Diceros bicornis minor: one gene and its partner. The protein of the gene in region 1 interacts with the protein of each later gene in a pairwise test. Links are inferred from orthologs where the notes say so. Each region holds a gene or a part of one and is shown in the gene's direction. Other genes may lie near its edges.

Region 1 (7,447 bases):
ACTCTGGATTTGGAAACCAGATATTGAAGCTTGCTAAGAATTGTATGTTAAAATGATAAAATGTCTGAAATTTTCTTGAAAATACCCATTGGAACAGGGGAGCAGGGAGGGAAATTGTTAATTATTCAAGCTGAGTAATGGGTATTTAAGCATCTATTACTCTCCCTTTATATGTTTGCAAATTTTCATAATAAAAAGTTTTTCAAGTCCACCATTAAAAATAAGAATTGTATGTTAGATATATGCAGGTCTATGTATATTTATTTCTTAATTTTTATCTTCGTAAAGCTTCACAGGAAACTTAATAGTATTTATCTTTGGACAGAAGGACTGAGTGCTAATAATAAGAGGCAGAAACTTCCAGTTATAAAATAAGTAAGTCACAGGGCCGGCCCGTGGCTTAGCGGTTAAGTGTGTGCGCTCTGCTGCTGGCGGCCTGGGTTCGGATCCCGGGCGCGCACGGACGCACCGCTTCTCCAGCCATGCTGAGGCCGCGTCCCACATACAGCAACTAGAAGGATGTGCAGCTATGACATACAACTATCTGTTGGGGCTTTGGGGGGAAAAAATAAAAATAAATAAAATCTTTAAAAAAAAAAATAAGTCATGGAAATGTGATGTATAACATCGGGAATATAGTAATTAATATTATAATAACTTTGTGTGGTGACAGATGGTTACTAGACTTGCTGTGGTGATCATTTCGTAATGTACATAAATGTCGAAACACTACGTTGTACACCTGAAACTAATATAATATTGTATATCAACTATACTTTAAAAAAAAAAGGACTGAGAGCTAAAAGGAAAGGATGCTCACTGTTTATTTGTTCTAGTGGAGTTTTCAGACCTTTTTTACCTCTATGTGTTATGTTTATTTATATATTTGTGTGTGTGTGTTTTTTTAGATGTGTATCTAGTCAGGAAGAAGGTGCATTTCCTCATTTGTAAATTGAAAGTACTAATAGTATCTAAGTTAAGGGATTGTGAGGCTTTTCTGCCTCTGTATTTTAATACATTTTTTGTTTTATTTTAAATAGGTATTTTAGGTGGATAACACTGGATTCTGTGTGAAGTGCTAAAAGAGCAGTAAAAGGGGCTCTGTAATGGCTGTTTCAGACTTCTGGTATCCAAATCTGGGCTTAAGGGTCTCACTAACTGATGTTTGCAATGTCCCCTGCCACCTCTCCCTTTGATGGCTTGCTTGCTGCCTTTGCTGTAGCAAAGCTAACTCTCTACTCTCTCTTATGCTTTGCTTTCTTCCTAAAGCTTTACACTCCTTGTTTCTTATTTTCTTTCTTCCTTGGTTTAAATATTCTGCTGTTTCTGTGTTTACTGTTATTGAGGGAAACAGATACATGCCGAACTGCATAATGTAAATTCAATTGTTGATCACCACTGACATACTGGATTCATAACTAAGTATTTCCCAAAGGTGGGAGCATAAATTGGTGTCTCTATGGGAGGCAGTTTGACAAAATCTATCATAATTTAAAATGTATATACTCTTTGTCATAACAATTCCACTAAAGAAAATTTATCCCCAAGTTATACTCACATGTATGCAAAGATGTATGAAGAAACTGTAAACAGTATCTGGATAGAAGACAAAAAGGGATTTGGGGTGGGAGACTTACTCTAAGTCTTTTGAAATTCACGTTTTTCTTTACCTTACGCAGTTATTACTTTTTATATTAAAGAGAAAAACTAGGGTAAAAAGGAGCCTTCTTACCACCTGTGGGTAACACAGCATCTACAGGTTCTTATTCCTAATGAATTTTCTGGGTTATATTTTTCTTCGAGGGTCAACAATGCTGACAGTAACCTTCTTTATTGCTCAACCTGACTTTGTGTAGGATTTTGACAACCCTAAACTAATCATTTAATAATTGAGTCCATTTATGATAGTAGAAATTTTTACAGTTTTCTTGCATAAAAGTGTGTGCGTGTATCTATTGCATATATGCATTTATCCTTCCTGACCCATATTCTGTACACACACACCCTTTCTTTACCCAGTTCCATTACCTGTTGACCACCTGTTTTTTCCTCCATGATCATGTACTTTGATATCTGTATGTATGTATATATATATATATACATGTGAGACATGTACATTTTAATAAAGGGATTTTTTATTGTAGTTTTTCTTTTTATTTATTTATTTTTTATTTTTTAAAAAGTGAGGAAGTTCTGCCCTGTAGTAATATCTGCCAATCCTCCTCTTTTTTTGCTGAGGAGGATTTAGGATGTTTAGCTGCCCTGGGCTAACATCCGTGCCCATCTTCCTCCACTTTATATGGGACGCCGCCACAGCATGGCTTGACAATCGGTCCGTCAGTGCGTGCTGGGGATCCAAACCGGCGAACCCCAGTCCGCGGCAGTGGAGCGCGTACACCTAACAGCTTGTGCCACTGGGCCGGCCCCTGTAGTTTTTCTTTTTAAACCTGATCACGTTATACTCATTTGATTGTATTTTGCTTTTTTTTTACTCAACACTGCAATGTGCAAATCCCACCATCACCTGATAAAACTCTGATTTATTCTTTTTAATGATTGCATTGTGTTAATTGGTCAAAGTATATTGTAATTTATTCAGCCGTTCCTGTATTGATTGAAACAACTCTGTTTATGGAGACAAGAAGTTGGAAAATACATGACAATAAACATCCTTGTACGTATTATGTATGATTACTTTTATTTCTATATGATGGATTCCCAGTAGCAGGACTGGCAGGTTAAAGGTGTAAGTACTTTAAGTTTTAATATATGTTGCCAGAGTTCCTTCCAAAAGGATGTCATAATTCACATTTAGGCCAATGAAATACGATAGTACCCTTTTGAGGAGATATTATCAATCTTTAAAATTTTTCCTAAAGTGATATCTCATTGTTAAACTAATTGTTATTTACCTGACTTCTAGTAAGTTTGAGTATTTTTTATAAACTTGACCAATTGGATCTGCTCTTTCTCTACATTTCAAATATTTTTTTCTGATTTAATTGCTTAGTTTGTTTATGGTTTTTTCATAATAGGAAATTTAAAACTTTTTATGTCTATCTTTTAAAGTTTCTGCTCTTTGTTAAGAATGTTTAGGAGACATGTCATCTTATAAATTTTGTTGTAGAATGTATTGCTGTGATTTGTTTTTTACATTTGCCTTTATTTCACCTGAATTTTATTTTTTTATATATAATGTAAGATAAAGATCTAATTTTTTTTGGCTGGATGATAACCATTTTTGTGGTGATTGTTTTAAAAATATCCTTTCCTGCTGAAATACTATTTAATTTTTGACTTGTACATTTTCTCATATGTGCTGGAATCTATATTTAAGTTCTTTATTCTGTTCCACTCGTGTGTGTTTATTCCTATGCTAGTGCCATATTGATTTGATTACAGTAATCCCTCCTTATCCGAGGGATATATTCCAAGACCTCACAGTGGATGCCTGAAACCTTGGATGGTACCAAATCCTATATATACTGTGTTTTTTTCTATACATACATACCTATGGTAAAGTTTAATTTATAAATTAGGCTCAGTAAGAGATTAACAACAATAACTAATAATAAAATAAAACAATGATAATATACTGTAATAAAAGTTATCATAGATCTTAGCAACCTCAACATATGATTTTTTTCTTATTCAGTCAAGAACTACCACCTTTTCACTTAAAGGAAGCACTTTATAGCTTCTCTTTGGCATATCCGAATTGCCAGCATCACTACTCCTACACTTTGGGGCCATTTTTAAGTAAAATAAAGGTTACTTGAATACAAGCGCTGCAATTCCCTGACAGTCAGTCTGATACCAAGACAGCTACTGACTGACTCATGGATAGCATATACGGTATCCACTGGACAAAGGGATGATTTGTGTACAGAACGGGACAAGGCTGGACAGCACGAGATTTCATCATGCTACTCAGAATGGAGGGCAATTTAAAACTTATGAATTGTTTATTTCTGGAATTTTCCATTTAATATTCTGGTACTGTGGTTGACTGAAGGGTAACTGAAACCACGGAAAGCAAAACCACAGATAAGGGGGGACTTCTGACATGTCTTTTGAATATATTCTGATATGTGGTTAGTGAAGTCCACTTACGGTTTTCTCCTTTTGTTCAATTTTCTTGGTGGTTCTTGGATTTTCTCCTTTATAACTTTAAGATACTATTTTTGAATAAAAAGGTCTTTTGAGCTTATTTCTCAATACAGTTATTTATAAATATTGGGGAAAAGTTACTACTGTGAATGAAATATTTTTCCCATTATGTTTCTAGGTGTTTCCTGCTAAACTAGGGAAAATTTTTATTTATGTATTTATCATACCTCTGCTTTATAATTTATTTTATTAATTTCAGGGTTTTTCTTTACTAGAATTGCTTGTGTTTTCTAGGTACAGGCATACCTCATTTTATTGCACTTCGCTTTATTGCGCTTCGCAGATATTGCATTTTTTACAAGACCCTCCACCAGCAAAAAGATTACAACTTGCTGAAGGCTCAGATGATGGTTAGCATTTTTTAGCAATAAAATATTTTTAAATTAAGGTACGTACATTGTTTTTTAGACATAATGCTATTGCACACTTAATAGACCACGGTATAGTGTAAACATAACTTTTATATGCACTGGAAAACCAAAAAATTCATGTGACTTGCTTTATTGCAATATTCACTTTATTGTGGTTAGTCTGGAACTGAACCTGCAATATGTCCGAGGTATGCCTGTATTCTGTCAGATCATTAACAAAAATATATTTTTCTTTTCCATTCTAATATTTATGCCAGTTAATTTGTTTTCATGTCTTATTAGTTTGCTATCATCTTCAAGTCAGTGTTGAATTATAAAGGGTTTAGAGGGCTTCCTGCTTTAATTCCTGATTTTATTCATTTGATTTATTGAATGAGTAATAAAATTCATATAGTTAAAATAATAAAAGTTTCCTGTGAACAGTCTCCTTCCCACCCTGTCCCTGATCTGTCCGTTTCCCACTCTGTACTCAAAGTAACCACTCTTCCACAGACCATCAAATTTCCATGTAGAAGCAAGTTCTTGATATAGATATAAATATAGAAATATATATAAACACACATACATACATTGAATAGATATATATTTATTGTGTGTGGATACCATCTTAATTTTATTTTAAATGCTTTTAGTGTTTTGCTATTTAGGATATTTGCTGTTGTTTTTTTTTCCCAAAAATGTTTAATTTTTTTCTATTCTTTTCAATGGAGCTTTTATTATAAATGGCTACTGAATTTTACCAAATTCCTTTTCAGCATCTGTTGTTATAATCATATGAGTTTTTCTCCTTAATTTGTTGATATGTTGGATTATGTTGATTTCTAAAAAAGAACCACTCTTGCATTTCTTTCTTTTTCTTTTTCTTTTTTTTTTTTTTTGTGAGGAAGATTTGCCCTGAGCCAGCATCCAATGCCAATCCTCCTCTTTTTTGCTGAAGATTGGCCCTGGGCTAACATCCATGCCCATCTTCCTCTGCTTTACATGTGACACTGCCACAGCACAGCTTGACAAGCAGTGCGTCAGTGCGCGCCTGGGATCCGAACCTGCAAACCCTCACAGGTTAAGAGCGTGCGCACTTAACCTCTGTGCCACCAGGCTGGCCCCTACATTTAACTTTTAAGTGAAATTGGTTTATGGTATGTTTTGTGTACTACCTTTGTTAGATTTAGTATTGAGTTATTCTGACTTCATAAAACAAATTGGAACATTTTCTGTATTTTTCTATGATTTAATATTATTAAAATGGTTTTTTAAAGATTAAGAATCTGCTGAGAATCTGGCTGGTCTTGATGTCTTTTTCTATAGTAGATTTTTAATTACCTTTAATTTATGGTATTTGGTTTTACTCAAGGATTCATTTCTCCGGTCAGTTTTGATATTTCCTCTTTTACTGGGAAATCATTCTTGTCTTTTGGGTTTTCAGATGAATTGCCATGAAATCGCATTTGTGTTCTCTTAGTTTTGTTTTCTTAATTCTCTTCTGTGCTTATGTTGTATTTCTCTTTTCCTTCTGAATCTTGTGAGTTTTCTCTCTCGGTCTTTTTTTTTTTTTTCACTCCCTTATTAGACTCTGAGTGATTGTCTTTCAAAGAGCTAGCTTTAGACTTAAGTATCCTCTGTATAACTACTTTATATTAATTCCAAATAGTATCTCTTAGTTTCTCTTCTTAGTTTATTTTGATATATTTTATTATTTTTCTAATTTCTTATTTACTGAGTTTTTTTTCCCCCTTGCCTTTTAAAAATATTAAAAGTCTTTGAGGCCATAAGCTTACTTTTTTTTTTTTTTTTAATTTTATTTATTTATTTATTTTTCCCCCGAAGCCCCGGTAGATAGTTGTATGTCATAGTTGCACATGCTTCTAGTTGCTGTATGTGGGACACGGCCTCAGCATGGCTGGAGAAGCGGTGTGTTGGTGCGCGCCTGGGATCCGAACCCAGGCCGCCAGCATCGGAGTGCGAGCACTTAACCGCTAAGCCACGGGGCCAGCCCAATAAGCTTACTTCTGAATACAAATTTTGCTGGGTCACCTGGGTTTTAATTATGATTCTATTTTTTTGTTGTAGCTGACTATGTAGATCATAATTTCCCTTTTTATTTCCTCTTTGATCCAAAGATTATCTAAAATCACTTCGTAGTTTAAAAGTAAAGATATTTTTGTACATTTTTCTAAATTTTTTAGATTGTATATCTCTGCAATTAGTTAAAGCTTTCATTATGACTATGTTTATGATCAATCATGGTGCTGAACATAAGAAAAAATATCTGTTCTTTGTTAGAGGGTTACAAGGTATCTTTTGTATCTTGTAAAAATTATGTTTATTGATAATATAAATTTGTTTTTTTCTTCTTTCCAACTATATTTGTCCATTCTAAAAGGTATACTGAAATAATTCAGTATATTTGTATTTTAAAAAATAAAATTATTAAAGTTCTAATAAGCTTTACTGTGTTATTTGGTATATACAAGTTTATAAGTTATATCTTGGTCATAAACTGTATGTATATTTTATAATTGTATAATCTTTCTCTTTATCCTACTAAGTACTTTTGACTTTAAAATTATACCTTCACTGATAAATAGTTCCCTGCAGTTACTTGAAAACAAAATACTATTTTTCCCAGAAAGAGGCTCGTTTTTTGCCTTGGTATCTCCTTGACCTCGAAAAGGTGAGACCTTTGGAGTACTTTTATTTTCTGCCTCTCTTCCTTTTTCACCTTATCCTCTTCTTCCCAGTCAGATCTCGGGAGTACTTTTACTTCTGCTTACCTCCATCTCACCTGCCTACAACTCTTTCACTTTGAATAAATAGCTTAGCAAATATTATGTAGAAATCTATTAAAATTTCTTTTGTGATCTAGTCCTTTTGTTTCAAGAGTCCTTATTTATGTTATACATTCCTAG
Region 2 (6,554 bases), on another chromosome or scaffold:
AGACCAAAGTCATTACTGTAGATAACAGAATGCCATTACATAATTCTGAAATGTTCATTTAGCCAGAAAGATACAAATATTTTAAATTCACAGAATAAAATAGTTTTAAATATACTTCAAAAATTGTAGAATTGCTAAGAGCAATACACAAACTCACCATCATAGTGGGAGGGTGTTACATGCCTTTTTCAATAATTGGTAGATCAGACAGACAAGAAAATCATTAAAGATTGTGGTTTTTTCCTTCCTGACACCAAATACATGGTGTCTTCTCCAACACCAGCTGGGAGTCCTATAATTCAGCTCAACTCGGACCCTAACTGCCTGGAGTTAGTGCAGACTGCACAGATTAAGGGCTCAGCCCACAAGACTGTCCCTACTTCAGACATAGTCACAGGTGTCAAGTGCCTGGGGCACTCACACTTCTGTGTGACTGAGCTACAAAGTCAGGGGTTCCCACATTCCGCCACCCCGGATTCAATAATTTGCTACAATGACTCACAGAACCCAGGAAAATGCTATACTTACTATTATAGTTTATTACAGAGGGTACAAATCAGTAGTCAGATGAAGAGGTACATAGGGGAGGTCTGAAAGTGTCCCAAGTGCAGGAGCCTCTGTCCCTGTGGAGTGGGGTGCACCACCCTGCCAGCACATGGATGTGTTCACCAGCTCAGAAGCTTCCCCAGATCACCTCGTTTAGAGGTTTTAATGGAGGTTTCCTTATGTAGGCATGATTGTGGCCATTGATGATTAACTCAGTCTCCAGCCCCTCTCCCCTCCCTGTAGATTGGGAGGTGGGGCTGAAAGTTCCAAGTTTCTAATAAGGCTTAGTATTTCTGGTGACCAGCCCCCATCCTGAAGCTGTCTAGGGGCTGGCCAAGAGTCATCTCATTAGAACAAAAGATGCTCCTATCATCCTTATCACTCAGGAAATTCCAAGGGGTTTTGGAGCTCTGTGCCATGAACTAAGGACAAAAATAAAATATTTTTCTTATTATACCATAAGTGTACATATGATTTGTGCCCCAATTTGAATCCTAATAGCAATTTAAAAATAGCATATGTAGGATTAGTTACAAAATGTGAAAGACTTTTAGGGAGAAAGTTATAAAGCTTTATTGAAGTTTATTGAAATATAATATTGAATGTTGAAAAATATTGAAGAAGACCTAATTAAATGGGAGGTATACTAGGTTCATGTTAGATTCATGATTGTTTAATACAGAGAATCAATTCTTCCCAAAATGCTCTACAGAATTAACTCATCTCACAAAAATGTCCAAGGAGACATTTCCATTTTTTAATGGAAATGAATAAGCTCATTTGAATATCAGACTTATAAAGGTTGGCAGTTAACCAGAGTGGCATTAGTGCTGGGACATACAAAGGCCTAATGGAACAAAGTGTAGAGTTCTGAAACACACCCATGTATATGTGGAAATGAGCTGCGATGGAGGTGGCTTTGCAGATCAGAATTCCACAAATGAGGTTAGGAAAGTTGATTATCCATATTTTAAAAATAAAATTGAATTCTACTTTACATGGACACAAAAATCAATTTCAGTTAGACTAAAAATCTGAATTTGAAAGGCAAAACCATAAACTTTTAGAAGAGGAAGTTAGCTCTATGATCCCAAGTTGAAAAATTCTTAAGACACAAAAAGGGGAAATAAAAAGATTGATACATTCAATGTTGTTAAAAAATAAGAATTTCTTTTCATCAAAGTACACTATAAAGAAAGTGAAAAGACAAGCTGCGGAGTGGGAAAAGATGTTTATAACATATGCAACTGACAAAAGATGAATATTTATAATATGTAAATAACTTCTATGCCTTCAATAAGAAACAGTGGATCAGATAGAAAAATGAACAGAAGACATAAACAAGAACTTTATAGAAAGAGAAACATTAGTGGCCAATAAATATTATGACAAGATGCTCAGAAAAACGAAAATTAAAATCTCAGTGTGATACTATTTTGCACCCATCACACTGACAATTTAAAAGTCTGATAATACCAAATAGTGAAGCTGTGAACATATAAATTCTAATACACTGCTGGTGGGAGTGTAACCTGGTACAACCACTTTGGAAAATTGATGCTGATATTATCTGGGAAAGTAGAAAATGTGGATAACCCTACAACTCTGCTTTTCCACTCCTAGATATATCTTAGAGAAATTCCTGCACAAAGGGGACATACAAGAATATTCCTAGTGCATTGTGAATAATAGCAAAAAAATGGAAGAAGTGCAAATATTTATTGATGTGTCTCCTTATACTGTGGAATATCATCACCAGTGAAGACAATGAACTACAGCTGTACACAGCAACATGCATAACCCTCACAACATACTGAGGAAAAAACAAGCTTAAGAACACATACAGGGGCCGGACCCATGGCTTAGCGGTTAAGTGCGTGCACTACGCTACTGGCGGCCCAGGTTCAGATCCCCGGGGGCGCACGAGGCACCGCTTCTCCGGCCATGCTGAGGCCACGTCCCACATACAGCAACTAGAAGGATGTGCAACTATGACATACAACTATCTACTGGGGCTTTGGGGGAGAAAAAAAGGAGGAGGATTGGCAATAGATGTTAGCTCAGAGCCGGTCTTCCTCAGCAAAAAGAGGAGGATTAGCATGGATGTTAGCTCAGGGCTGATCTTCCTCACAAAAAACAAAAACAAAAACAAAACAAAACAAAAAAAACACATACAGATGATTTAATGTATTTAAAGTTCAAAACGTGCAAAACTAAACAATATTGTTTAGAGATCCATATTTGTGTTATATAAGTATCAAGAAAAGCAAAGAAATGGTCAATTTCAATGTAGTTGTTTTCTCTGAAGGGAGGAATGGATTATGACCTTGGAAGGAAGGGCACATAGGGTCCTCAAAGATATTGATAATGTTCTGGTTCTTAAACTGGGTGGTAGATACATGCATTTTAATGATTTTTACCTTAAAATACGTTTATATATACAGTCAATCTTCATTACTGTGGATTCCATATTTGCAAATTTGCCTACTTGCTAGAACTTATTTGTAACCCCAAAATCTAAACTAGTGCTTTCATGGTCATTCACGGACATTCACAGAGCAGTGAAAAATCCGTCACCAGACTTCACAGCTGAGGCTGACCAAGGTGACACTCTGCTTTCTTGTTTCAGCTCTTATATTGTAAACCTGTGTCCTTGTCACAGTATATTCAGTGCCACACTTTTTGCATTTTTGTGCTTTTTGTTGGTGCTTTTGCTGTTTAAAATGGCCCTCAAGCATAGTGCTGAAGTGCTGTCTAGTGTTCCTAACTGCAAGAAGGCTGTGATGTGCCTCACGGAGGAAATATGTGTCCAGATAACTTCATTCAGGCATGAGTCATAGTGCTGTTGGCCATGAGCTCAATGTTAGTAAATCAACTACATATATTTTAAAAAGTGTCTTTAACAGAAGCACACGTAAAACAAGGTTATTTTCAAGGTTGTTGAAAATATCATGAACGGTGGCTGCCAGGAACTGAACTGTATTTCCCCTAGAAGCAATGGTTCAGTATTCTCAGCCACTTCATAGAACTACCTCACATAATGAGAATTGACTGCATATTTGCACGTATGAAGGTGGTAATACATTTTCCAAGGAGGCTAGGAGAGCAGGCCGAGCAAACATCGTTTTAGCGGAGACTGGTGTGTCTCAAGAGCGAGGACGCAGCCGTGGTGGCGGAGAGTGGACGCGAGGCGTGGGGTCTGAGCGGCCGTGGAGGCGCGGACAGCGGGAGAGCTGGCGGGGCCCGGGAGCCTTCACCACACGCCAGGGCGGGGCGCGGAGAGGAGTTCGGGGACCGCTGACGGGGCCGCCTGGGTCCTCCACACCTTCCTCTCTCAGGTTCTTCAAGGACCTGCTGCCGGGTTCTGGGGGTTGAAGAGGCGCTAGTACCGCCAGGGAAAACAAACGAGGCGGCTGTGAGGTGCTGAAGGATCGACGGGGCCACAACAGAGTGAGAGCTGGGCCTGGCTCCGCTCCGGGCGGGCGCCGCCCGCCGCCCGCCGCCCGCTCGCGCCCGGAACGCTGCGCCGCGGGCGCGTTGCTGGAGGAGCGAATTCGGCGTGGGACCCGAGGACCTACGTGGGTTCCGGCGGCGACCTGGCGCATGGCGGTGAGCGGGGCGGGGAGGGCGCGCGGGCGGCGGGGCCTGGCGCCGTGGCGGCCCCCGTGATCCTCGTGCTGCCCCCTTTCTCCAGGCCCTGGGACATCCTGCTCGGGAGACAGCGGCGGCCCCAGGTCCAGGTACCGCGCGCGCGCCCCGCGGCCCCGGCTTCCCGGGTCCCTCCGCTGTAGGGTCCCACCCGGTCCGTTTCCGCCCAGGGCCCCCCGCGCGCGGGGACGCGCGCCCCGTAGGCGGTGGAGGCGAGGCGGACGCTAAGAAGCAGAAGAAGAGAAAGAAAACCCGGAAGGGGCCCTCTGTGGCGAATCCGGGCAGCAAGGCCCCCGAAGAGCCGGCCCCAGAGGAAGCACCCTTGAGCGCGGAGGCCCAGGCAAGGGCGGCCTCGGTCGGGAGGGTGGAGTCTGCCCGCGGTGTGCGCTCAGATTTGCGGGTGGAGGTGGCGGAGGATGGGATGGGGGCGTGGGGGTCGCTGTGGGGTGGGCCTGGAGGCCCTCTCGCAGCCACTACCCCCATCCATCACAGGCGGAGCAGCTGGCTCGGGAACTGGCCTGGTGCGTGGAGCAGCTGGAGCTAGGCCTCAAGACGCGGAGACCCAGCCCGAGACAGAGTGAGGGGCCCGTCTGTAGAGTTGGTGGGGCGGTGAATGGTGACAGTGCTCTGGGCTGTAGGTGCTGCCCGGGTGGAATTGTTGCCTTTGCGGTAGGACGATAGGAGGAGAGGATAGAGGAGGCCACTAGTCCTTTTTTTTTTCCGCAGGAGAGCAGGCTGTTGGGGCAATCCGAACCCTGCACAGCGAAAGAACCCCCCTGCCCCGGAAGAGGCAGCTGATGCGCTCCTTGTTTGGGGACTACAGGGCTCAGATGGAAGGCGAGTGGCGCGAAGCCCTGCGGGCCCTCCGGACTGGTGAGGACCCGGGAACTGGTTGATTCAGGGCAGCCTAATTCAAGGGTTGGGGAAGAAGAGCCTAGGGAGTGAAAGAAAGAAGCTTAGAGCCACATGGCTGGCGGGAGGAGGAGACTGGCTCAGGGAAACCTCAGGGAGCGGGGAATGAGAAAGCTCGGACCTCGGGAACACAGAATTTGGGCCTAGACCAGGGAGACGAGCAGGAGAGTTAGTGAATTACTCTTTGATTCTAAAAGGAGTGTGATGATACTACCTACCTCATAATTTTGAGAAGTCAGTTAAATTTATACAAAGCAGTTAGAATTGTGGGGGCAGAGGTAATGTTAGCTGTTGTTATTCAGTCCTCATGCTGTCTCTCTCTTCTCCCGCAGCAGCCCAGTCAGCCCAGGTGCAGCCTGTAGGTGAGGCCGCCAGAAAGAAGAGTGGAAGGGTCTGCAGGCCTCACCTAGCAGGGGGAGCCAAGGCCACCCTGGACACTCCTGATGAAGAGTTTAGGTTCAATTTCTTTTAGCCTCTCCCCCATCCTGGAACAGTCCCTCTCCGTGAGTGGTGTGGGGGTTTATCTTGGGTGCAGAGCCTTTCCAGGAATGCTCTGTGGGACAGATGTGGGGTTGGTCTGTCCCTGGCTGGTCAGTGAGTCTGGTGCCGTTTTTTGGGCAGATGTGAGACCAGCATATTGGGTACTGTCAGACAAGCACGAGACCCCCATTTGTAGGTCTTCAGGTGAATTGTTCCTCCTGCCAGAAGAGGGAAGTCCGTTTAGAAAAGCTTCAACAATAAGCTGAAGTGAGTGTTCAGCATGTTATAGAAAGAATATTTTAGTCAGTCTTTAGTGTTAGATGTAGTAGCTGTTGGTAGTGAGGAATGGTGGGAAAGCTGTGTGATTGTGCACTGGTGCTCACTTAGGAAAGGAGGTCCTGCCACATGGTGTGGTGCTTTCTCTCGTGATGTCACGTTGCCCCAATAAAACTAATTTTTATAAAAGTGGATGAGTGAAAGCGTGTGCTAACCGTGTGTGCTAGAGGAAGTACAGATGAGGCAGGCGTCTGGCAGTGCTGGATCCAGGCTCTCACCCCAGTGCTTGGTCATTTTTGTTGCCTTCATTTCTGAGCAATTCATCCTCAGGGAGCCAGTGTGGCTCCCAGCAGGCCAGGCTTTGTTCTTAGGAGCAGAGAGCTTCTTGGCCTAACAGTCCCCGCCAAAGACTCGGGTTAAGCCTCGGTGGATGACCTCTCTAAATGTTGGCTGCTCCAGGCGATAGTCCCAGGCCTTCTGCTGCATTGAATCAGGTTTTCCAGGTGGCTTAATCCTCCTCAGTGGCTGTGATGCCATTTTGGTGGTATCTCCCAAACTTGCATCTCAGACTAGATAGAAGCCCGGAGCCCAGCTGCCTACTCAGCATCTCTACTTGGATGTTTCATGGGCATTTCAAATTTGGCATGTTCAAAACATCCGATCAACCTCTAAATCTCCCTTCGTCTTCTGCT

What was found. The genes of interacting proteins can lie anywhere in the genome.
Region 2: the proteins of HMBOX1 (region 1) and C21H8orf33 interact in binary tests that used the Homo sapiens proteins (3 or more experiments, as listed by UniProt). The two-hybrid records come from large-scale screens. The link is inferred for Diceros bicornis minor from reciprocal best matches to the Homo sapiens genes HMBOX1 and C8orf33.

Annotation. Positions count from the first base shown.
Region 1 is NC_080750.1:64,922,831-64,930,277, reverse strand, and holds the start of HMBOX1 (homeobox-containing protein 1), read left to right. Parts: upstream 1-4,428; 5' UTR 4,429-4,558; intron 4,559-7,447. UniProt on the Homo sapiens protein: Binds directly to 5'-TTAGGG-3' repeats in telomeric DNA. Associates with the telomerase complex at sites of active telomere processing and positively regulates telomere elongation.
Region 2 is NC_080760.1:57,568,569-57,575,122, forward strand, and holds C21H8orf33 (UPF0488 protein C8orf33 homolog), read left to right. Parts: upstream 1-4,044; 5' UTR 4,045-4,149; coding exon 4,150-4,155; intron 4,156-4,240; coding exon 4,241-4,286; intron 4,287-4,364; coding exon 4,365-4,534; intron 4,535-4,686; coding exon 4,687-4,771; intron 4,772-4,920; coding exon 4,921-5,067; intron 5,068-5,438; coding exon 5,439-5,578; 3' UTR 5,579-6,054; downstream 6,055-6,554.